Linked DNA regions of Drosophila melanogaster. The protein of the gene in region 3 interacts with the protein of the main gene of each other region in a pairwise test. Each region holds a gene or a part of one and is shown on either strand. Other genes may lie near its edges.

Region 1 (5,448 bases), on a different chromosome or scaffold from region 3:
CCTACGGATCCGGCGTCAAACAGCAGGAAGGCTATGGAAAAGTCGGCAATGGAAACAACCTGCGTCCTCCGCCGGGAACCGTTGTGGATCTGGTCTTTTGCGTTCGTGATGCTAGGGGCTTCCATGCGGAGAACCTGCACCGTCATCCGGACCACTATTCCGCCCTTAGGCACCTGGGACCGAACTTTGTGGCCAAGTATCAGGAGCGTTTGGGTGCGGGTGTCTATTGCAACACGTTGGTGCCTCTGCCAGATGTGGGCATTACCATAAAGTACGGCGTGGTGTCGCAGGAGGAGCTGCTGGAGGATCTGCTTGACTGGCGGCATCTTTACTTGGCAGGAAGGCTGCACAAACCAGTGACGAATCTGGTCAATCCTTCTGATAATCCTCCCCTCAAGGCTGCGCTGGAGAGGAATCTTGTATCCGCGCTGCAAGTGGCTCTGCTACTTTTACCAGAGAAGTTCACTGCCTACGGACTTTTCCACACCATCGCCGGACTGAGTTACAAGGGCGATTTCCGTATGATTTTCGGGGAAAACAAACAGAAAGTGCACAACATAGTTAGTCCGCAAATCAATGACTTCTTCGCCCTATACCAACCCTCCCTGGGACAACTTTCCGACTATGTGGCGGTAAACATGAAGGGCCAGGAACCAGGGAGCCGGAAACCAGCCATAATCTTCGAGCAGGACAAATCCTCATCGGCTACATGCCAACACCTGCGACAGTTGCCCCGAGAGCTTCAGAAGCGATTGCAGCGAAATGCCGCCTGTCGTGGCGACTACACCCAGGTGGTGAATCACCTATCCATGGCCTCCCAGCTTCCGGAGGTGCTGCAGGCATCCGTCAACGACATTGTGTGGCGCAGCAGTGTCACGCAATCGATCAAAAATATTCCCAGTGCTGGCATTCTCAAGTCATTGGCGTATAGCTATCGCAAGGCTCAAAAGACATTCGCTGTTTAGGTTTATTTTTCGGGTTAATCCCCTGGCTGCCAATCATTCTACCGACTAAGTTGTCCCATCCAGCTGCATTTTGTTAAATACTTTTAAGCTTTAAAGTTGTTAACTGCAATATAATGTTTAGCCCAATCCAAAGACCTGAGTTTTCTTGGGGATTCTCTCTTTTCACATCCAATGGACCTCTTTATAACCTCAGGAATATCTTGGTTTACTTATTATTTCATTAATTGTATTTGCAGATCATGTCCAGCGACGACAATAGTAGTGATAGCAATTCGTCCAGCGATGAAAGGCAAAGGAAACGGAAGCTTAAGAAGCACAGCAAAGATGTGGACAAGTCCAAAAAGAAGAAGTCGAAAAAGCACAAGAAAGAAAAGCGTCGCCACAAGGAGAAGAAACGCAGCAAGCATGAGGAGGAGCCACCTGTGCCTTACACGCAACCTCCACATTTAATTAATGCATCTCCGCCAGATGTGGCTACAAACAACGAAGATTCCTTTGGTCCCGCTTTACCGCCGCATTTAAGGAAGACCCAGCAGCCGGAACTCCCTGAGCAAAGCCAACCAGCCCCACAACCGCAGGCCATGATAGGACCCGTCCTGCCCAGCAATTTGACCCGGGAAAAGTCTCCTACTAAGGAAGCGGAAGCTGAGGACGATGATGACCTAGCTGGCACCTTTGGTCCTCTGCCAAATGCCAGTCAAGTGGCTCTGGAGGAACGTGCTTTGGCACTTAAACTGGCAGCTCTGGAGGGCGGGGGATTGGGTACATCTACAGACCAAGATGTCCGCGAAGAGTGGATGCTTGAGCTGCCAGATGTGGGACTGAAGAGCGGCCTTGCCGCCCTGAGCAATATGAAGCGCACTTTCTATCAGGGAAAAGAGCGACCCGACTTTAGCGATCGATCATCCTGGACGAAGACCCCGCAGAGTGAAGCGGATGCTGCTGCATCGGGCCCAAAGTCGCTCAGTTCGAAGGAACTCGAGCAAATGGCACAGGTCAAGTACGAACAGCAGCGGGATGACGAGCAGGAGAGCATGGCCAAGAGGCACAAAAAGAAGCACAAGCGAGAGGAGTCCCTAGTGGAGCTACATCAAAAAAAGCTTAGGAAAGAGCAGAGAGAAAAGGTACGAGGAAAAATATTTCTTAAAAACATAATATGGATATAATATTGTTATAAATTTAAGGAAAAAGAACTGGCTGCATCGGGTTCCAAGCCAGAACGAAGACCTTTTAGTAGGGATGTGGACTTGAAACTTAACAAGATCGACAAGAATCAGACCAAGCAGATTGTAGACAAGGCCAAGATATTGAACACCAAGTTCTCCAGGGGTCAAGCTAAGTATCTGTAGGTTAAATGAACCATAAAAAATCCAGACGATCCGTACCGCATGTTAATCTTAAGCAATTATGTAATTTAATTTAGAAATAATTATTATAAAGGCAAAATAATTTGTAAATGACATTTTTGATTGCTTAGTCACCTAGCTTAAACTTTCGTTTAATTGGCATAAATACATTGGTAATATGAGTACAAACACACAATTGGGCAATACCAGCTAATGATGAATGATTATGAAGCTCTTCTAACGCTGAGGCGGTGGTTTCGGTTTCGGAATCTTGGACAGCAGCATCTGAATCTCGTCCTTTTCCTTCCAGTCCTTCCACAACTCGTACAGATTTACAATGGCGCGCACGATCTCCTGGACCTTGTCTAAATCAACATTCAATTCTGCGAACCACTGCTTCGTGGCGTCCTTTTGCAGGATGACGCAGGCGATTTGAAGGCAGGCTATAGCGATCTAGAAAAAAATAGGTTCTTCAAATGTGAGGAAGCTGTAGAAATTATCAGGATCACAAACCTGGTAAGGAGGATAGAGCAGGCAGACATCGGTGCGCAGGGAATCGTTTACGATACGCCAGCTCAGGGTGAGCAACTGGTCCTCCTGGCCCATGTCCTGAACCAGCTGCAGCAGCGGTCTGTACGGCTGGTAGACAATCAAGCAGCAATCCAGGTTCTCCAGCAGGTAAAACTCGCACTCCAGGATGTGATTGGTGCGGTAGGGAAACTCCTGAGCGTACGCATAGCTGAACTTTGTCTTAATGGCCGACTGGCAGATCGAGATCAGTCGTGAATTGGAAATGACACCGAACTCCTCCACCTTCGAGGCCAGCAAGATGCAAGTGGGCGCCAGCAGCAGAGGATCGATGTTCTTCAGGGAGTTCCTCGCATAGAATCTCTTGAAGTAAACCGTCGCCGTGGCGATGACCTGTTGCCTCAGCTTTAGCTGCTCGCCGAGCACCTGGATCACATTTGCGAAGAAAATAAACACCTTTTGGTATTCATCCTCGTTAAGGGCCAACAAATCGTGCTGACGCTCCCGGAGCAGATCGGGTTTGTCCAAAATCCACTGCTGCGAGTGCGAACTCTGCCAAAAATTGCCCGCCATTTCGTAACTAGTAGGCCTAGCTGATTAGGTCGGCCAATATTTTCGTGTTAGCTATCCAAATTAGGTGTTTATTTCAATAGCAAGCCGGAAAACCAGGAAAAACGAAAAAATTGTGTTGCCGTTTCAGCCAGTGTGTGCACACCAGGGCTATTTTCCACGAACAGCTGACTGGCCGCAGCCAACTTTGCGCAGCGCAGTACATTGGTGTGTGTGTGTGAATTTTTCATCAGCGCCGCGGCCACAGACGAAAAAGTCTTAAATATTTTTTAGTAATAGGCTATTGAACGAATTAATAAAACGATGGCGTTGCGAGTTCTTGGCGTGACGCAGAATATGCGCTCCTTCATGCGGGGCGTTGACATGATCAAAGTAAGTCCAGACAGCCATCCAATGATTACGCTTCCGAGGATTTAAATTACGTAATTGTAAATGATTGTGTTTTTGGTTGCAATTGTGGTTTATTCTTGTGAGAAAAGGGATAAACAACCTCTTGTTGGTCAGTTATTCAAGAGCCATCCAGTTTTTCAAACAAATATTTGGGAAAACTGTTTGGAAAACCCACTACAAGCACTTTGAGGTTATGTTCGTGTTTTACTTAACTCTGGGCTATAGTTTTCCCAATTTTCCCGAACTTACAGCGATACAAGTCGGCTGCCACCCTACAGAAGACTCTGCTGAACATACCCGCCACCCAGGTGACCAAGCTGGACAACGGTCTCCGCGTGGCTAGCGAGGATTCCGGTGCCTCTACCGCCACCGTGGGACTGTGGATCGATGCTGGGTCGCGCTCCGAGAACGAGAAGAACAACGGAGTGGCCCACTTCCTGGAGCACATGGCCTTCAAGGTTGGCTCACTAGCTTGATGCTTTAAATGCGTATAATATGCGTTTCTGCCACTTTTTAGGGTACCGCCAAGCGCTCGCAAACGGATTTGGAGCTGGAGGTTGAGAACCTGGGCGCCCACTTGAACGCCTACACTTCCAGGGAGCAGACCGTCTTCTACGCCAAGTGTTTGTCCAAGGATGTGCCCAAAGCCGTCGAGATCCTGGCCGACATCATCCAGAACTCCAAGCTGGGTGAGGCTGAGATCGCCCGCGAGCGTTCGGTGATTCTGCGCGAGATGCAGGAGGTGGAGAGCAACCTGCAGGAGGTGGTCTTCGATCACCTTCACGCCACCGCCTATCAGGGCACTCCTCTGGGCCAGACCATCCTGGGACCCACCAAGAACATTCAGTACGTATATTCAGCTCTTATAACAAATGCTCTGTCTCTAATTAAAATCTTCATTTATTTAGGTCCATTGGCAAGGCCGATCTGACCGACTACATCCAGACCCACTACAAGGCTTCGCGCATCGTTCTGGCCGCTGCTGGCGGCGTCAAGCACGATGATCTGGTCAAGCTTGCCTGCAGCAGCTTGGGTGGCCTGGAGGCCAGTGTGCTGCCCGCGGAGGTGACTCCCTGCCGCTTCACCGGCTCCGAGGTGCGTGTGCGCGACGATTCCCTGCCCCTGGCCCATGTCGCCATCGCCGTCGAAGGCTGCGGCTGGACCGACCAGGACAACATCCCCCTGATGGTGGCCAACACCTTGGTGGGTGCTTGGGATCGTTCCCAAGGCGGTGGCGCCAACAACGCCTCCAACCTGGCCCGTGCCAGCGCTGAGGACAGTAAGTGTACATCAGTAAGACGACCAGGATATGGAGATTATTAACTATTATTGCCCTACAGACCTTTGCCACAGCTTCCAATCGTTCAACACATGCTACAAGGACACCGGACTCTGGGGCATTTACTTCGTGTGCGACCCTCTGCAGTGCGAGGTAAGAAGAATTAATGATTCAACAGAAAACTCTCGAGAGAAAGCAAATTTTACGTAAACAAACCTCTTCCCCAGGATATGCTCTTCAACGTGCAGACCGAGTGGATGCGTCTGTGCACCATGGTTACCGAGGCTGAGGTCGAGCGCGCCAAGAACCTTCTGAAGACCAACATGCTGCTGCAGCTCGACGGCACCACACCCATCTGCGAGGACATTGG
Region 2 (8,267 bases), on a different chromosome or scaffold from region 3:
TCGCACTCGCACACAAAAACACTCACACACCAATACACTGACAGCGAAGTCGACCGCAAAGTCATTTGATTAATAATTCTCGCATTCTTTTTGGCCTGCGAATTTCACAAATAAACTCAATTGTTTCCAATCAGCCCCGGTACTTGTCCCTCTCCCCATCCCATCATATCCGACCCACCCCCTCTAGCAGCTTCTCCCCTCGTACAAAACACTGCATTTTTTACAAGCTTTAAAAAGGTTGTTCGGTTCGTTCTTATGACGCCAGTATATGAAAATTTACTTGATATTGCAACGGTGGTGGTGGCGGGCACACTCTCCGGCGAATGTGTGTGTGTGTGTGCAACAGTAGTGGCAATCAGAATCGAAACGCCGCGCGGGTGAGAGGCGGTGGTGAACGGCGAACAGAGCAAAGCAAACTGAAAACTGAATGAGACGCGGAGGCAGCAGAAGGCGAGCAGGCAAAGGCGACCGATGTAAAAGTTCTTCGTGCGGCGCGTTCGGGCGGCAGCCGAAAGCACAAAAGTCCAGTGGGAGAGCCAGTGCAGGCGGTTTGGCTTTGACGAGGGATCAATTGATTCGACTCTTATATTTAAAAGTTATTTATTGAACTTCCTAAGTGTGGCATAATAACAAGGCTATCTGATTATCTTATTGAAAATTTGACAGTCAAATATCAAATATAAGTTTTTTTTAATAATATGGCAAAGGCATAACAAATATCAGGTAATGAGTTGATTAGCTTAGAGCTGTAAAAAGCCCAATAATCCCAATCCAATGCTAAAAAAAGTTAACATTTACATAAGCCAGTGAGAAAAATAACTTTAATAACAAGGCGGTTTATCTGATCGGAATACATGAAAATTTAAAACACTTATTAAAATAATTCAATTTAATCTTTATAACCTTATATTCAAATGGAAAAAGTCAAAAAAGCATTTATAAATTACTGATTAAAGTATCCCTTTCAACAAATTTTTATATTAGATGAAAACTTAAACTACTTTTAGCATTCAGAGTAGATAACTAGCCAAGCAGCACCTGCACTTACTCCAATTACAAAAACTGGCTAGAGAGAATCCAAGTGGCCAGCACTGGCAAGAGGTGTGGAGGCAGCGAGAGAGCGAGAGCGACTACGAGAGACACCGCAAGATACAGATACAATGCGTGCTCGAGCCCGCATGTGTGTGTGTGCGTGCGATTGCGTTGTTCTTATTAACGATTTGCTGCCGCTGTCTCCGCCGCTCCCTCCACCAACCCCCTCCCGTTGTTGTGCTGCTTTTTCGGGGCTTGGGCACAAAAAGGCGGCAAAACGGTTAAGCACACAAATTCGGCCGGGTCCAATTGGCCAATTTGAATACGAATGCAAGAGTCGCCAATTCGAATTGCACTCACCAGCGATATAGTTACGTTTTATCCATAGACCAGCGAGCTACCACTCCTTTTTCTGCCTGCAGCAGCGTCCCTTTTCAACAGACGCCGTTCCCGGATTGCTCAATGGCGATCTTGGTTTCGTGGCCCGATCTTGCACATCACTCTCCACTGGTCACTAACTGCATTGCGCGCACTGTACACTTGCGGTTGGCCATTTAATTAGAGCGGTGCCTTTATTTTCTTAACATTTAACGCGGATCCAGAGTTTTAGTTGCGGGCGGAAGAGCGAGAGAAGCAGTGTATAGAGCTGGAAGAAGTATCGATATGACATCGATAGTTCTCCAGAGCTGGCAGTGTGACCGGGCTGCTTTATTTTCAATGTAATTTTGAAATATACCAAATACACAAAAATACCAAATTAGGGATGGCACTGCGTCGATAGCTTTGAAAATTAAGTTTTTCGTAAAGTATTTTATAAATAATAAAAATAATTAGCAGCGTAAATTTAATAAGTTATAAAGTGTAATTGGAATTATAAGATTTTCTGAAAGTATAAACTTAAATAGTAGGATCTTGACTATTTCTAAAGAGTTTTTTTTTTGCATTTGCAAGTGGAGTATTTATAATGTTGAAAATCAATGTGTTTAGGTGATTATCAATACTTTTCCACATAATCTTGTTCGAGATTTTTGAATCCATATTTTGTGGGAGGGAAAGAAAATAAGTGGATTATACAATACATTTTATACGATTTTCGAAAGAAATCCTATGATCGATCTTCTTATTTAGAATAAGATATGTTTCTAAAATGTTTTTATACATAGAATAGCCAGAAGTCCTTTCTATATAAAAAAAAAAAAATGTTTCAAAAACTTTCTGTTTCATATGGCCATGTTTTTGACTTCGAATAAGCGCGCTTTCGTTTTCAAAACCCACGTTTTCGAAAAAAAAGTGACAAAAACTAAGTTATAGAAAGTCTATTTCTTTGATTTGCTTTTATTTAGCTTTATCGTAAAATAAATTACAAAATAAAATACATTTTGCATATAATTCGTATCCTTATATGTCTAGTACATTAATTTACTCACAAATCTTTTGGGTTAATATTGCGCTGTGCTCCTTGCAACTCTCGCTCGGATTTTGTTTGTTTTTCTAATGCTAAGAACCAAAAAAAAACAAATCAACTTGCCGCAGGCCGCGCCCCCAGAAAATCGATTTGTGCCTGAAGCCTGACGCGGGGAAGCCGAATATCGTTCATCGTATATAAAGCTAAATGGAAACTATATAAGAATCACACGAAATCATATTGAGTTATTAAGAAAACATGGATGTAAGGTAAACAAATTAAATTCGTAACAAATGTACAGGGAAATGTTTTTCTTTTCTTTTTTTGGGCGCGGACGCGCTAAGTAAATGACAATTTGGTGGCCGTGGCCAACCGTTGAGATTAAATTGCTTAGATGCCAGCTGGATTAGGTGGCCAAGTCAATTACAATATTATTTAAGCCGTTTTGTACAAACAATTCTCTACTGTTCGGTTTAGGTTTCTGTATCTCTTTCTGCTTCTGTGATCTTTCGTTTGGCAATTGGTTACGCGTTGCTGTAGTAGTACTTCTGTGTCTCTGTTTAAAATCATCATCCAAATCCATGACTGCATCGGTAGTTTCGCTTACATACATCGATCGCATGTACGTATATGTAAAAAGTGGTCCTTAATTCGAGACGTGTGGTTAAAACGCTTTTCTTCGTGTATGTATATATTGTATATAAGACTGTGATTCTTTCTGCACGTATTTGGGTGTTCCTTTTAGAGTCTGTGTGCTGGCTAAAAAGCCACCCGCAAAAGCTTATGCAACCGGGTGGCCTACGAAATGTATCTGAATCTGTGTGCAAAATCTGATTCAGCGCAGAGCTACGGTTCTCAAATGACGTTCGATCGGACTACGGACTACAGAGTACGGATCTCATTGCTGCTGTTGGTTGGTTGTTCGGTTTTAGTAAGCTAATATAAATCACGATAGTATGGCCACGCTGCGTCGCGGCCCGCCCTGACTGATGTTGTCCATGGAGGACCACTTCTTGATCCCATTCTTCAGTGCCTCGGCAGTGACCTTGTCCTGCATCACACGCGACATGGCCTCCAGCTTCTGGGCCCGCTCCTTGGACAGCGGCTCCGTGGGGAAGTTGAGCTCGTTGGCCTCGGCGAGCGTGCGCAGGTCGAAGTAGTATTTGGCGTACACCGAGGACGGTACATTGATGTTGAACTGCAGCAGCTCGAGGAACTGGCGCTCCAGCTCGTTCATGTCCTCCACGGTGATGTCTTTGAGTATTTGGCAGTAATCTACATTCCAAACGGCCTGGTCATCCCACACCTTTGAGGCGAGGAGAATGGCACCTGCAGAACATCAATAGTAGAAATTAGTAAGCTATACCAAATTAGTGATCTACTGCTTGTTCTGAATATCTGATGCTTGCAGCACTCCACTCACCCAACACCATGCGCTTCCAGTTGCAGGGTCCCACATCCAGCTCGGCGTAGGTGAGTAGCCGCTCCAGGTAGACTAGCGTGATGATCGCACACTCGGCCGTCAGCTGGGCGGCGTTAAAGAGCGTGCGCACGAACTTGTAGATCTGCCGGTGTTCCGGATTGTGCGTGTCATAGTTATCCGGCACCTGGTCGTGGGTCAGCGGATGAAGCTTCTCGTCGAAGATGTCCAGCCGGCGATCCGATTGCCGATTCTTGATGTGATAGTAAATGGCCAGTGAGACGCATTTGACCGTATTCTTAAGATTCGGCTGCGACACAGTGCTGTCGTCCAGATAGATCGTCGAGCAGGAGGAGCTCTTCTTCATGCCGCCACCACCGCCGCAACTATTGCCACCGGGAGTACTGCCGCCGCCACCGCCGCCGCCTCCTCCGCCGCCGCTGCCCGCCTGCTGGGCAATCTGCTGTTGCGAACGCTTGCGCGTCATGCCGCCGTTCTCCACCTTTGATCGTTCCAGGAACATGGTGGCTGCAGTGGGATCGACCGACGGATCCTCCTCGCCCTCCAGCGCCTCTCGCTCGGAGATGTGCTGCAGATTCTGCTGGTTCTCATAGTTGTCACCGCCGCCACCCTGCTGATTCTGTTGCTGATTGTGGCCGTGATGATGGTGATGCAGGTGCACCGCCGACGCGGATCCATGGTGGCCGTCCAACTGGTGCTGTGACGTGTGCGGCGGATGACCCAGCTGGATAATCCGCTCCTCGAAGACGGGCGGCATGTCCTTAGACTTGCGGTCCGACTGCGGACTGGAGTACGCGCAGCACGAGTTCTTGTTGCCCATTTTGCCGTTTCGGATTGGTTCGGTTGGTCGGGCGCTCAAACTAAATGCAAACTTGGCTTGGCACTCACTCGCTCGCTTGCTCACTCTCTCTTGACTAGCGGATGGACCCCGTGGTTACGGATCCTGCTCCTGGCAGTCGCTCACGCTCGGTTCTCGCTTTTGGCACTTGGTCGTCGTGCGTCTATGTCTATGGGCATGGCGCTGGCGTTTCTATCGCTCCACAATTACCGCTGCCCGTCGTCGAGCGTTTGCTGCAAAGAGTATATGTATGTATATAGATAACGCTTAGCCTCGGCTTTCATTCGATCTTATCTGCAAATCTGTTCTCATTCTCATCCCATAACCCATTATTAATTGCACTGCCCTTTTTTGGGGAGGGTGCTATTCGATTTTAGAGAAGTTTTGACTACTTTTTCACTACTTGTGGTGGCATTTAAACTATTGTTAATAACACTTTCTAGTGCTACAAATTTGAATGACCTGATAAGACTGACTATTTGATTGATTTGAAAGTTTGGGGGCACTTCTATCATATAAATTGTAGGGAAAGTCAGCTGTAGATATGATAAAAACTTTGTTGTTTTTAAAGATAATAACGTGAAAGAAGTCACATGACGAAAACCAAATATGCCATGCATATCGAACTTAGCCTAGGAGGGTTACTTTGGTTAGGGTATTTCAGCATTCGATCTGCAAGTTGTGCTATTTTCACTATCTACCATTTATATTTGCTCTGTTTATAGGCGGAATCGTTTTGGCTTAAAGGCCGGCCAGATTGTTGTGCGAAAAGTTAATTAACCTAATTGCCTAATTTGGCGAGGTCTTTGCTTTATTTTCGCCGATTTCTTGTTTTCTGTGTGGGGAGCACGACTCTAACTTCTTCTTCTTCTTCCCATTTCTGGGAGGGGCGGGGCGGCAGCGAAGCTTGTGACTTTGTTTACGGCGCGGAAGGCCGGAGATATTGGATAATTTGTCACCGGGTGGGCAGCTGATTGCCCAGTTCCTAGATTCCTACTATCTCTGCTCAAATCACTTGAATTGTTTTTTCCCCGCACATTAATCATTGCAGTGAATGAATGAATGAACGCTGGCGCCGCTGTCGTCGCCGGCAGCGCTGCTCGGCCTCTGCCCGGAGAAACACCCACGAATGACTACCAAATCGGGATTATTGGGTGATTAGGCTTAATTGGTGGCTATCTCACTGATGAGGCGATGGCCGTCAGTTGGGCAAGGTAGTAATGCAACACTTTTCACACATCTTTGGTGTTTTCTCGCGTTTTTTTGTTTAATTACCTGCTCGAAAATGAAATGTATCGTATTTTATAAATATCGATAGATATCAGTGGCGGTGTGCCCGTTGATGGTTAGCACAAAAACACCATCCGGCTAAGAGATGGCATTTTGCGGTATAAAAATACCAGATAAATGCTCTAGTGCCTAGTTTTAAAAACATTGCGTAAAATCTTAAATATTATTAATAAGTAATAAATTAGTCCCTGAAATATATGATCATTCACAATTACAATAATAACAACAAAAGGATATATAAAAGGGCAATGTAAGAAAGTCGATAAGTAAAGTACTGAAACGCCACTTATCGATATCACACATGACTATGTGGCAGCACTAAATTCAAAAAAAGGGCGGGCCTTTAATTAAACAAAATATGTAAACTCCTTTAAAAAAAAACCGTCCCCAGTTAGGTTTAATAAGAATTTTTATTAGTATATTAAAAGTCATATGGTGTTATTATAATTTACTTGAAAGTATTTCGTAATAAGCATACATCTCAGCCATATACCCTTTATCTCAAATACTTGTTTTGCAATTTTTAGACCATCGCCGTTAGTTTATGCATATTAAATGTTGAGTTTAACATAGTAGGAAAATTAAAAACGTTTCATTAGTAGGCTTTTGTTTCGAGATAACTTGTAAAGTACACAATTAGTTTGCTTATGCGATATATAAATAACTGGGCTAGAAATGAACAGATGAAACAAAGTTATTTACAGATCTCAGTAATATGCGATTCCTTCGGTTTTTAGTTGGTGTGGGATGGCTACAGTATTCCCTTTAGTTAGAGTGCATTCCGCTAATATACTACATCTTTTTGCATCCTGTGCAAGTTGTATTTACACAAAATGTATTTTATATATATTTTTTTTCCATTAGGGACTTTATAGTTAAGTAGTTTATATTTATTGTTTAAATGTAATGATTGCTTTCAACTTATTTACCGTATGCAAGTGTGTATTTCATATTGTTCCATCAGCTAAGTTTCTCTCGTTAACAAGTTTGCACATCGGCCGGAACTATATAATATGTCTATGTGTGTGTTAATGATACTACTAGACTACTTTTTGCTAATAACATTGAATCGTAAACCTCATATATATTTATATATATCCGTTTGCATACGTTCGATTAGTGTTTCTGTGGATTTCCCATTTTTCAACAGAGATAAATAACAACTTTTTCGGTTTTTTTTTTTTTGTTTTGTTCGAGGGTCTGCAGCCTAACGCTATATTAATCAGGACTTTGTACAGATTTTCGAGAGAGGTCGCTATATATATATATATGTATATATACGATATATGCATGCGCATCGCTTTGAGCGTTCAAGTTTGATATACACTAACATACACTGGTTGTTCAATAATATTTACGGTCCGCATAATAGGTATTCTGGCGCTATATTTATCCCATTAATGTTTAGGAGTAGATTAATCTGCTGTGTACGTTTGTTTGTTCTGTCTGTTCTGTTCGTGTTTGTTTTTAATTTGTGGCTATGGCTACTAGTAGACATCCGCTATACACATCTGCAACCACGATTTGTTCGTACATTTATCGACTACCTTAATAAAGCTATGATCCCAATTTCAGCTGATAATTTGGTACCTTACTGCTAAGCACTTTTACCACTGCCCTTTGACTTTCTGCTGCTATCGCTCGGCGGCTTTTCCACCTCGAATTTCCCTACGATTTTCGCCCTGCTCAAATTGGTAAAGAGCAGTGGTAAATCTTAAAAGAATGGTCCCGCTATCAGACATTTTGAAAAACGTTTGAAAACATTTCAAGTTGATTAAGGAAAAGGAAAACCGAAACGAAAGGAAATCAAATCCTCCTGCGACTCAAGCCCTCCACTTTCTGCTCTCACTTTTGTCCCGCGCTCATGTATAAAAATAAATATGTTTTGTAGAAACGTGACTATTATATTCTTAACAATAAATATTATATATCCCATCGTATAGGTAGCTATGTGCATTTGTAGAGTGGAAAGTTTTTGAAATCTTTGCCTTCTTCTTGGATTTTTGGTTTTTCTTTTTCTTGTGGGGAAAGTCTGTTAGGGGTTGGTGTAGAGTATATACAAGTCGTATAGCTAGTTGTCAGGTATTTTTTGGTTTAGCTTTTAGTTAGGTACTTAATATCTAGACAGATCGACGCGTCTGTCGTTCCTTTCTTGAAAAACCACTCGTTTAATTGAGCAATTCGAATGCTTGGTAAATGCAAACACACAAAAAACTAAGGGCAAAAATAAAAGGTAGAAACGATTACAAAAATATATATGT
Region 3 (8,349 bases):
TATGCGCGTAATTAGCAGCAATTAGGGCGGCGGGGGCGGATATTCAATATTCGGTAAACAGAGCTTAACATGGACTTCGGGCCATTCATTAAAGTCTGACAGCAAATTACACTTTTTTCCCTGCGTTCGCCTTCTTGTTGTATCTGTTTTTTTTTTTTTATTCACACGCCTCGAATGGCATTTGCGAAATGCAAATTACGCTAAGCAAATTAGCGCGGAAGCACCAAAGTGCAAAGAAAAGAAAAAAATACAAAATATAAAAAATAAAAAATAGGAAAAGAGCAGGGAAACTTAAGTGAGGTGTGCGCCAGGGAAATTCAAGACAAATTAGCTGGGAAGTTGAGAAGATACATACGTGTGTAAAATATAATGCACCATGCGGGTGCACAATGCCAAATGAGCTGCGAACTTTGGTGCAAGTAAGGAAACTAAATACCCTGAGTGGTTATAATTATGGAAATTTATTCTGGTGACTCACTTAACCAGGAAAGAAAGTGGTAGAGGTCATGGAATGCCTTATATGTGGTAAAAGATATTATTTTCGTGAAATATAATACAATTTTTCGAGTTACTTGTGGTTCAAAAGTCTCGTACTTATCCCACCAAAAGTGCAACAATGCACTTTTAAAGCATTCCGATGGTCTTGAGCTGGGTTAACTTCTTGACACCTTCAAGTCGTTACAATTAAATGTGAAATATAACCGGGGCGCAGGCTGTGCACTCGCAGCCTCTGAAGGCCCAGTTAAGTTGTTAGAATGCACAATAAACTCATTCATAAGTCTGGCGTAAAGTCTCACAGCAATTTAGCCAAAGTCTTCACACCGCAACTGACTCGCCCACAAATCAAATTGCAATCCCCAAGAGCCGGCGCGAAAACAGAGCTGGGTTGAGTGTGCCTGGGTTACATTGATGCACTCAAAGAAAATATTACAAGTAGGTATCTAGAAAATTATGATGTTTTAAGTGTTGCACAACGAATTCGGAAAGCTTAAATCAAAATCAACTAAGCAAACGTGGTATGTAGTAATCAGGTAGCCAGTAATATCTATCATATTAATATTAAATAGCGTACAACTTGATTGGGTTTAACACTATTAAGTTAATACATTTAAAGTTAATTTTCCTTTATTTTAGGAGTGTTGTGTGGGGCAACAGGAAGCGCGCTGAGCAAAGCGACACCTGGCCGCTTCGCTCATGACAAACTGCCACTCCAGGCGTGGCTGGGAAAGCGCTGGGAAAGCGACAGGAGTCGGTGGGCAATTGAAAAATGACGCCTGCCCAGCCGGTGGAAATGCATTCGGCAAATGAAGCCGGCCCAGAAGCACGTGAAGCGAGCAAACAAGACACAAAAAGGGAGCATCGGCAGCTGTGGGAATTCAGTTTGAATGCGACCGATATGTCAATATGCCAACTGCTGTTTGAGTTTATTTTTTTCCGCTTTTCTCCATTTGTTGCCCACTATGGTTTATTAGCGATCCACTAATTGCAAAAATTTGCTTCGCATTTATCCGACGAGCCAACGACAAATAAAAAGGCCAGCATAGAGCACGCGTGTGTGGTTTTGCTGCTTTGTGATTAAATATTTGAATATTAAAAAAAAACCACGCTGTTATCAGCGATTTGGGCGCTCGGTTACCTGAATGCTGAAAAAAACTATAGAGCATTTCGTGTTGACCCTCAGCTGTAGACACTAATTGAAAATGGCAACTGGGTTGGAGAAATGTGTAAAAAAACATGATGTTTGTTTATTTTATTTGCCATGGGTAAAGTTGCATTTGCCGCGATAAGCAGCAAAATCACAACTGATAAAAGAAATAAGAGTCAAATGAATAAACAGAAAAATGTTATGTAAATAGTAATCAGATAAGGGAAAGAGTGAGCTGATAAAGAAGTGTTTCCTTACTCCAGTTGATGATAACTTAATAAAGGGGGATATATGAGAAGAAACTACATTTCATACTCACGAATACATAGTATTGAATAATAAATATTTGAACAAGATTCGTTGCTAGAGTGCAGTGTATTTAAAAATGCATTTTATTGTTGTCAGGTATACTCTAAATATTTACGATCACTTGTGCATACCTACATACGTATTGATTAAATTAAGTGAAAATTCCAAAGTCCATGTAATATGTGAACCACTCAAATGAATCATGTTTCCCGCTGTGTCAACTGGCTTATCAAAGTTTTGCCTTTTGTTTTAGTTGATAAGAAATAACACAGAAAATGACTCTCAAAATGAGAATGTTGGGATAAAAATGGCAACCTAAAATTGGCAATGGTATCTAAGCAAAAACAAAACAAAAAAACTCAGAAAGAACAGCGAGTTAGATTTTTTGGCCAAGTTTTATGAACGAAAACCGTTAAACGGCAACCGTTAGCTTTGATTTAATTAGAAGATTTTTGTGGGCTTGCTACAGTTTATCAAGCCCCAAAGACAACACACGATTTCAGCATCAAACTGTGGCCATGGAGGGGATTTGGGCTCTGCAGTGGCTGGACTGATTCGTATGCTTCTCTCACTGGCTCTTAAAGCAGGTTTTCCATTTGGCCTTTGGCATAAGCCCCGCACTGAACTACTCGAGTGCCCAGCAAAAGCCGCACAAGTCGCTCTCTGTGTGTGTTTGGCTTTGTGTGCCAGTGTTTGGGGCACACAAATATGAATAAAGGCTACAGTGGATGCTCGCGAAGCGAAACAAAGAACATTGGTGGAGTGCCAACACTATGACATACCATTTATTCAACTAAAAGGAGTGCCACTGTTATCGGGATTGCACACGAGCTCCACCTAGCGGCGTTAACAATTACTGCTCGCAATAACTTAATAATGAAAAGTTTTTTTAATTAAGTAGCTCACCATACCCGATGACCACTGTTCAAGGTGTAGTAAAACATCGGGCAACGAGAAATATGCATGATTTTGTAGCTGCCGTTGTTTTTGTGATTATTCCTCTCTTTTTTGCGGCTGCTGCGTGTAAAATCAATAAATTCGAGCGGGTTCAAGAGGTGACGACAACGTCGAAAATGCCTATGACCTTCAGGCCCCTAGCTGACCTTCGCCATGGCCCCATACCCCCTTGTTGCCCCCCGCATGCTACCATTTTCCGCCTTGGCAATTAAATTTCGTATGTAATTTTTTACACTTTTTTTTTGCTGGCCGGCACTTCTTAATTATCGTTGTTAAGCTGGTTATGGTTTGTTTTGCTTTTGCTGCTTTGTGCCTCGCTTTTTGTTCAAATTTATTCCCCGCGACCAGTGGCATTCATTAATTTCTTGCCTTATTCGCTGCCCTCGCTTCGCTCTTTTGGTTATTGATATTAATAAAACTTTTCTTCTTTCCTCAGCCCAAAAAGAAGTCCAAAAACAAATCGGCCAGCAATCGTGGTTGCTCAACAAGTTACGTCAGATGCGTTGGTGGGGATTGCTGTTTCAGGGTTTTTTGCCCGGATCCCGGAATACAAAACAAAAGATTAAGCTTTTGAGGGATTAGGATTACGGCCTTGTGTACCGGGCAAACAAATGTGCAAGTCTTTGGAAAAGCGCAGATAAGCGGGCGAATTATGGAATTTTACTTGTTTTTTTTTTTAATTTCTCTGCCGCCATCTGGAGATGAAAGAACCTTAATGAAAAACCTTCCAAACATTTAAAGATATTGTATGTTTATTTCCATAGTTTTATGGCTCTTCTTAAAACCTAACCTTCCTTTAATTGCCTTTAAATGTCAGTCTTTCTTAGCCAAAGGTTATACTAATATCTAGGTCGACCAACTAACTTTAGTTTAATTACACAGAGTGGCATTGACCGGAAACCTGCAATTTAAATTGTTCGTTCGCCTTGAACTTTAACCGACTTGTCGTTTGTATGTGCACCCTTGCATCTGTGCTTCAGTTTTTTGTGGGTCACCATTTACTGTTTCTTTTTAAAGATTTTTAAGGGTTTTACTTCTTGTGATATATTTTCTTTAATCTTAAATCCTTTTAAGTATATAACTCACCATCTTTAGCATTTGTTGCCCCCGTTGTTGTTGTTGTTGTGGTGGTGGTGGCCATAGTTTTAGTTTTTGATTTTATTGTTGCTGGTGTTGTGCAGGCAGAGGCCTCTGCCGACGCCGACGTCGCTGCTCTGTAGAAAGCCGATGTTGTTGTTGCCGATGTGGATGTGGTTAGTTTTGTTGTTGTTGCTTCCACGGCGCCAGCAGCTGACAAACTTCGCGAGCAGTGTATTAGTCACCTGTTCTTTACAGGTGCAAGAAGTAGGGGGTGGCAACTGGATGGGCTTTGTATGCGTATGTCAGCTGATAGGGGGGAAAAACGCGAGATTTGTTAATCAGCGTGGAAAAAGGCGAGGATGGGGTTTTCCAGGTGTTCCGTAACCAGGAAGTGCACAAAAATTAAAACAACAAGAATTAAAAGTCATGAAGCTAGTTTTGGTTATCTTGGTAAGAATCGACTTTATTTGCGGGTTTCATTCATTTAGCAAGTATTTGGAATTTATTTTAGTAGGGATTTTGTTTTTTTGATCCATTGTCCACCATTAAGGTTTTAAGTTAACTTTCGTTACTTTTAGATATCAAATCTATATATTGATATTTTGGGCACTCTGCTGCTTCTCTAATTTTGGTTCACTTAAGTGGCCAAGACTTTCTATTTAATATTTTTGCTTAGCACACAAGCAGCTGCCTTAATTTATAATTGAATTTATCAAATTTATTTCTGTTATTATTTCGCTTGCTCTTTTGTTTTTATTTTATTTTTGTTGCATGTGCGTCGGTGTTTATGCATGTGTGCGCGCGTGTGTGTGTGTGTGTGTGCGTGCTTATGCGAGAGTTGGTGCACTGTGTGTTTGTTGTTGTTGCTAGTGACGCGTACGCGTGTTTTCTCGCTCGCACCTGCACGTTTTCACTGGCTCGATTAGTTGCCGCACGCTGCTAACGGCCGCTGCACATGTTTTCGGTAATTTTACGCGATTATTTGTTTAGTTTCTTGTGCAATTTCACAGTTGTTTTTTGACGGCGACTCGCGGAGCGAGCACGAATTTGGTCACACCACATCGCCAGTGTGGCCAGGCAGGGGTCAGCGCCAAAAAATCAGGCGGCGCAGCTGAGAAATACCAAAACATATGACTTTGCAGAAAATACTGCTAACTTTTAACAGCACGCAAGTAACAGAATTCTGTTAAAAAAAAATAATTGTATTGACTTAAGTTCTACAAGAACAATACTAATTTCTCTAAATTTCAAGAAACAATGCGGTTCCTCTAGCCTTTTAATCGGAACGGTAAAGCAACTAGCTAGAGATCTTATAGAAACTAACAAGTTAAAATCCAAGGTTAACAGTACATTAAAATACAACTATCCGGCAACGTCAAAGTCATCTTTTCCACTTTCTGGCAGCCTGCTTTCAAAGTTTTTAAAACAATGAAATAACTGAATTCTCATATTGCACTTTAAAGAAATGTGGATTGCAACTGAGGGCAAATAACAATAATATAAAATTGTTCCTTCATTTTTGTTTTGTTAATATATAAAAATATCATGTTATTTGACAGAATGTTTTTTATAGTTTTAATACAACATTTTCTTGAGTTCTTTAATATTTTTGAATTCAACGTTTTTATTACGACTCCAAACCTATTTAACAGCCAACATAAATATTAAAGCCACTGAAAATTTTTCTAAGGCTAAACTCTCTTTTTTCTATATTTTTCTCGAAGTTCAAAAGGGATAACTGACCTTGGCAGAAATTCGTTTACAATTATTCACTATTGTTTTAGACCCAATAAACATTTTTTTACAATTTGACAACAAATTTGTGACCTTGACAAGAAAATATGACACCAATATTTCGGCAACAACAATCGGCTTAGGTTGATAAGTGAGGTAATTTTGGATGACGAAGATCGCCTGACTCTCCCACTCGCTCCCAGTTTTTTTTTTTTTTTTTTCTGACATTTTGTTGCTGTTTTTGTCACCCAATTTGCACGGGTATTTATTTGTTTTTTGATTTTTTTTTTAGTATTCCGCACGGCTGTTGAGTGAAAGTTGCCACCGTTTAGAGTAATGTGTGTTGTTGTTGCTGCTGCCACGCCCACTGCCCGCCCGCCTTATCGTCACCTGTCGCTGGATGTGAGTGAGGTGCTAATTCGACAGTCAATTGTGTAAAAAAGAGTACGGCTAGCAATTGCATAATATCAAAGCTAAAAACCGAAACTCGAGCAAAAATATTTTGGGCGCCAGAGATCAGAGAAAAAGAAGGCGATTAACCAACTCCAAGAAAAGCCATAAAAATCGACAGAACCGAAATGAGTTTTTTTTTTTGTTTGTAACTCGGGGGGAAACGTGTTCTTCCCATTGCCGAAATCAATTTTGTTGCAGAATTAAAAGCCACAAGCTGGGGTCATAAAATATCTGAAAGAGATCAGTTGTGAGATCCCAGAGTTTCAAGTCAATGTCCTTTGCAATCCACTTCGATCTTTGATTGCTCTTGATGCCCTCAGAAAAGGTATACTAAAATAGTCAGGCGATTAGTTTTATATTTTTAACTTTAATAGCAATACTTGATAGCACTTCTTGTGGAATATTAACAATATGCAATAGTTCAACTTATATAAACTTATAACCCATATCAAGCTGTACCAGCCAAGAATCATTATAATTCCTCGAATTGAAGGGTATTGAAACGCTGTTTTTAAAAATCAGTGCTTCCTCGTTTTTTAGTTGAATTTCGTTCTTTTTTTTTATCATCTTTGGTTGTAAATCGTCTTGGCCCTTGCAGGTTTGGCCTGTTTGCAGACCTCTTGTTGGCCAAAAGGGCCACAGAACGAGTTCTGACCACCGCCGATCGAGCTGCAAATGGTTCAATCGATCGATCGATCGATCACCATATGAAAGTCCCAAGTGGACAGGAGATAAGTTTTCCTTCTATGCACAGCAACGTTTTCTCCATCAAACGTTTGACCCATTTAACTACATTTAAATGTTCTCATTTGCATAGAACACATTTGGAGCTTTGTTCGCCGGTCTTGTGGGCGTTTTGGTTTGGTTTCTGTGCATTTCTAATGAATTATTAACCCAGAACCGGGGGAAAACGCATCCCAGCGATGCATCTTCCCTGCAGAGACAGTCGGTCCAAAGCTAATTGACTCTAAAAATAGCCGGAGCAGGTTTCTCCGTCCAGTCTGCGTCTGCATCTCGACACTGCATTTAAGTCGGTCTGGGGAACGGGTTTCCATCGAAGACCAAAGATCCAATGAGCTCAAGATTCACCATCCAGTCAGCAGAACGGCCGATAGGGCCAAATGCGTTTCTTGTAGGAGCGTTTAGCCAAACAAGAAAACCAGTAAAATCTGCTGATCAAATGTCGCTGCCTGGAATCGAGTCAACAAGGAATGAGAGTGAAAAAGTGGAAAACCTGCGGAAAAGGGGGAGTTGCATGCACCAATCGATGATCAGGGAAGACTGCAACAGAGACTAATCGCTGCACAGTTGGTCAATGTGAGAAATTTTGTAACCTTTAAAAACATTTAGCAATTATCACAGCAATAGATTTTTTCACGGATGTTTAGCTTATCCCAAGATTATCTCAGTTCAGTAAAATTTAATAGTAATCACAGTTTTTAATCCTAAGACAACAAGATAGATAACTACAGTCCTAAACAAACAAGGAAAGTATTCAAAATCTTGAAATCAAAATCTTGAAAATCAAAAAAGTATTCAAATGAAAAAACCCTATTTTCTTTTTTCCCAAAATTAGTTTTTATTTTTTTATTTTCTTATTTATACTCCTATAAACTTATTTCTGCTATATGCCCTGAGTAAAACAAACACTGATGGCCGATAAAACAAACATGATTGATGATGGTCCCAGCCCTTTTCGCTGTCCCAACGTCTTGGCCAATTACAAGTGCAGCTTCGTGGCCAAAAAGGCTTCTGATTCTCGATTCCTGTGTGCAATGCAAGACCAACTTGGTCCAGTTCAATGACACTCAGTGTGCAAGAATTGGCCAAAGACGATGGCACTGATACTACCACTTTTCCCCAACCTCTTGCTCATACCTTAGCCCTGTGTGCTTGTTTGTCTGCCAACAAAGTCGACGGCGGCTGCGCAGCCGGTGGTTTGTATAAAATGCGATGGGCCTAAAGAAATTTCAAACAGTTGCGGCCGTGAGGCGCTAGTGAACACATCTTGAAATCGAAGGAGATATAGGAGATAAGTCGCGATAATGAAGCCCGTTGCCTTGATCCTGGTTTTCCTGGCCATTAGCCAAGCCAGAGTACTCAACTTGCCCAAGGAGGCGATCGATATTCCTGTGGCCATTGTCGAGGATAAGGAGCCACCAGTAGCTTTG

Evidence for each region. The genes of interacting proteins can lie anywhere in the genome.
Region 1: the proteins of Eip63E (region 3) and CycC interact in a two-hybrid assay, tested with the Drosophila melanogaster proteins (2 studies listed by BioGRID).
Region 2: the proteins of Eip63E (region 3) and CycY interact in a two-hybrid assay, tested with the Drosophila melanogaster proteins (2 studies listed by BioGRID).

Annotation. Positions count from the first base shown.
Region 1 is NT_033777.3:14,886,646-14,892,093, forward strand, and holds CycC (cyclin C), read right to left. Parts: upstream 3,561-5,448; 5' UTR 3,413-3,560; coding exon 2,825-3,412; intron 2,765-2,824; coding exon 2,549-2,764; 3' UTR 2,359-2,548; downstream 1-2,358. Other genes in the region: CG33331 (uncharacterized protein), read left to right, coding at 1-965; CG33332 (uncharacterized protein), read left to right, coding at 1,205-2,089, 2,150-2,314; UQCR-C1 (Ubiquinol-cytochrome c reductase core protein 1), read left to right, coding at 3,713-3,781, 4,051-4,257, 4,317-4,645, 4,708-5,078, 5,140-5,231, 5,306-5,448. UniProt on the Drosophila melanogaster protein: Component of the Mediator complex, a coactivator involved in regulated gene transcription of nearly all RNA polymerase II-dependent genes.
Region 2 is NT_033779.5:11,807,734-11,816,000, forward strand, and holds CycY (cyclin Y), read right to left. Parts: upstream 6,048-8,267; 5' UTR 5,992-6,047; intron 4,950-5,991; 5' UTR 4,699-4,949; coding exon 3,861-4,698; intron 3,767-3,860; coding exon 3,384-3,766; 3' UTR 2,359-3,383; downstream 1-2,358.
Region 3 is NT_037436.4:3,512,477-3,520,825, reverse strand, and holds the start of Eip63E (Ecdysone-induced protein 63E), read right to left. Parts: upstream 5,076-8,349; 5' UTR 4,892-5,075; exon of another isoform or gene 4,298-4,891; 5' UTR 4,053-4,297; coding exon 3,998-4,052; intron 1-3,997. Other genes in the region: ImpE2 (Ecdysone-inducible gene E2), read left to right, coding at 8,224-8,349.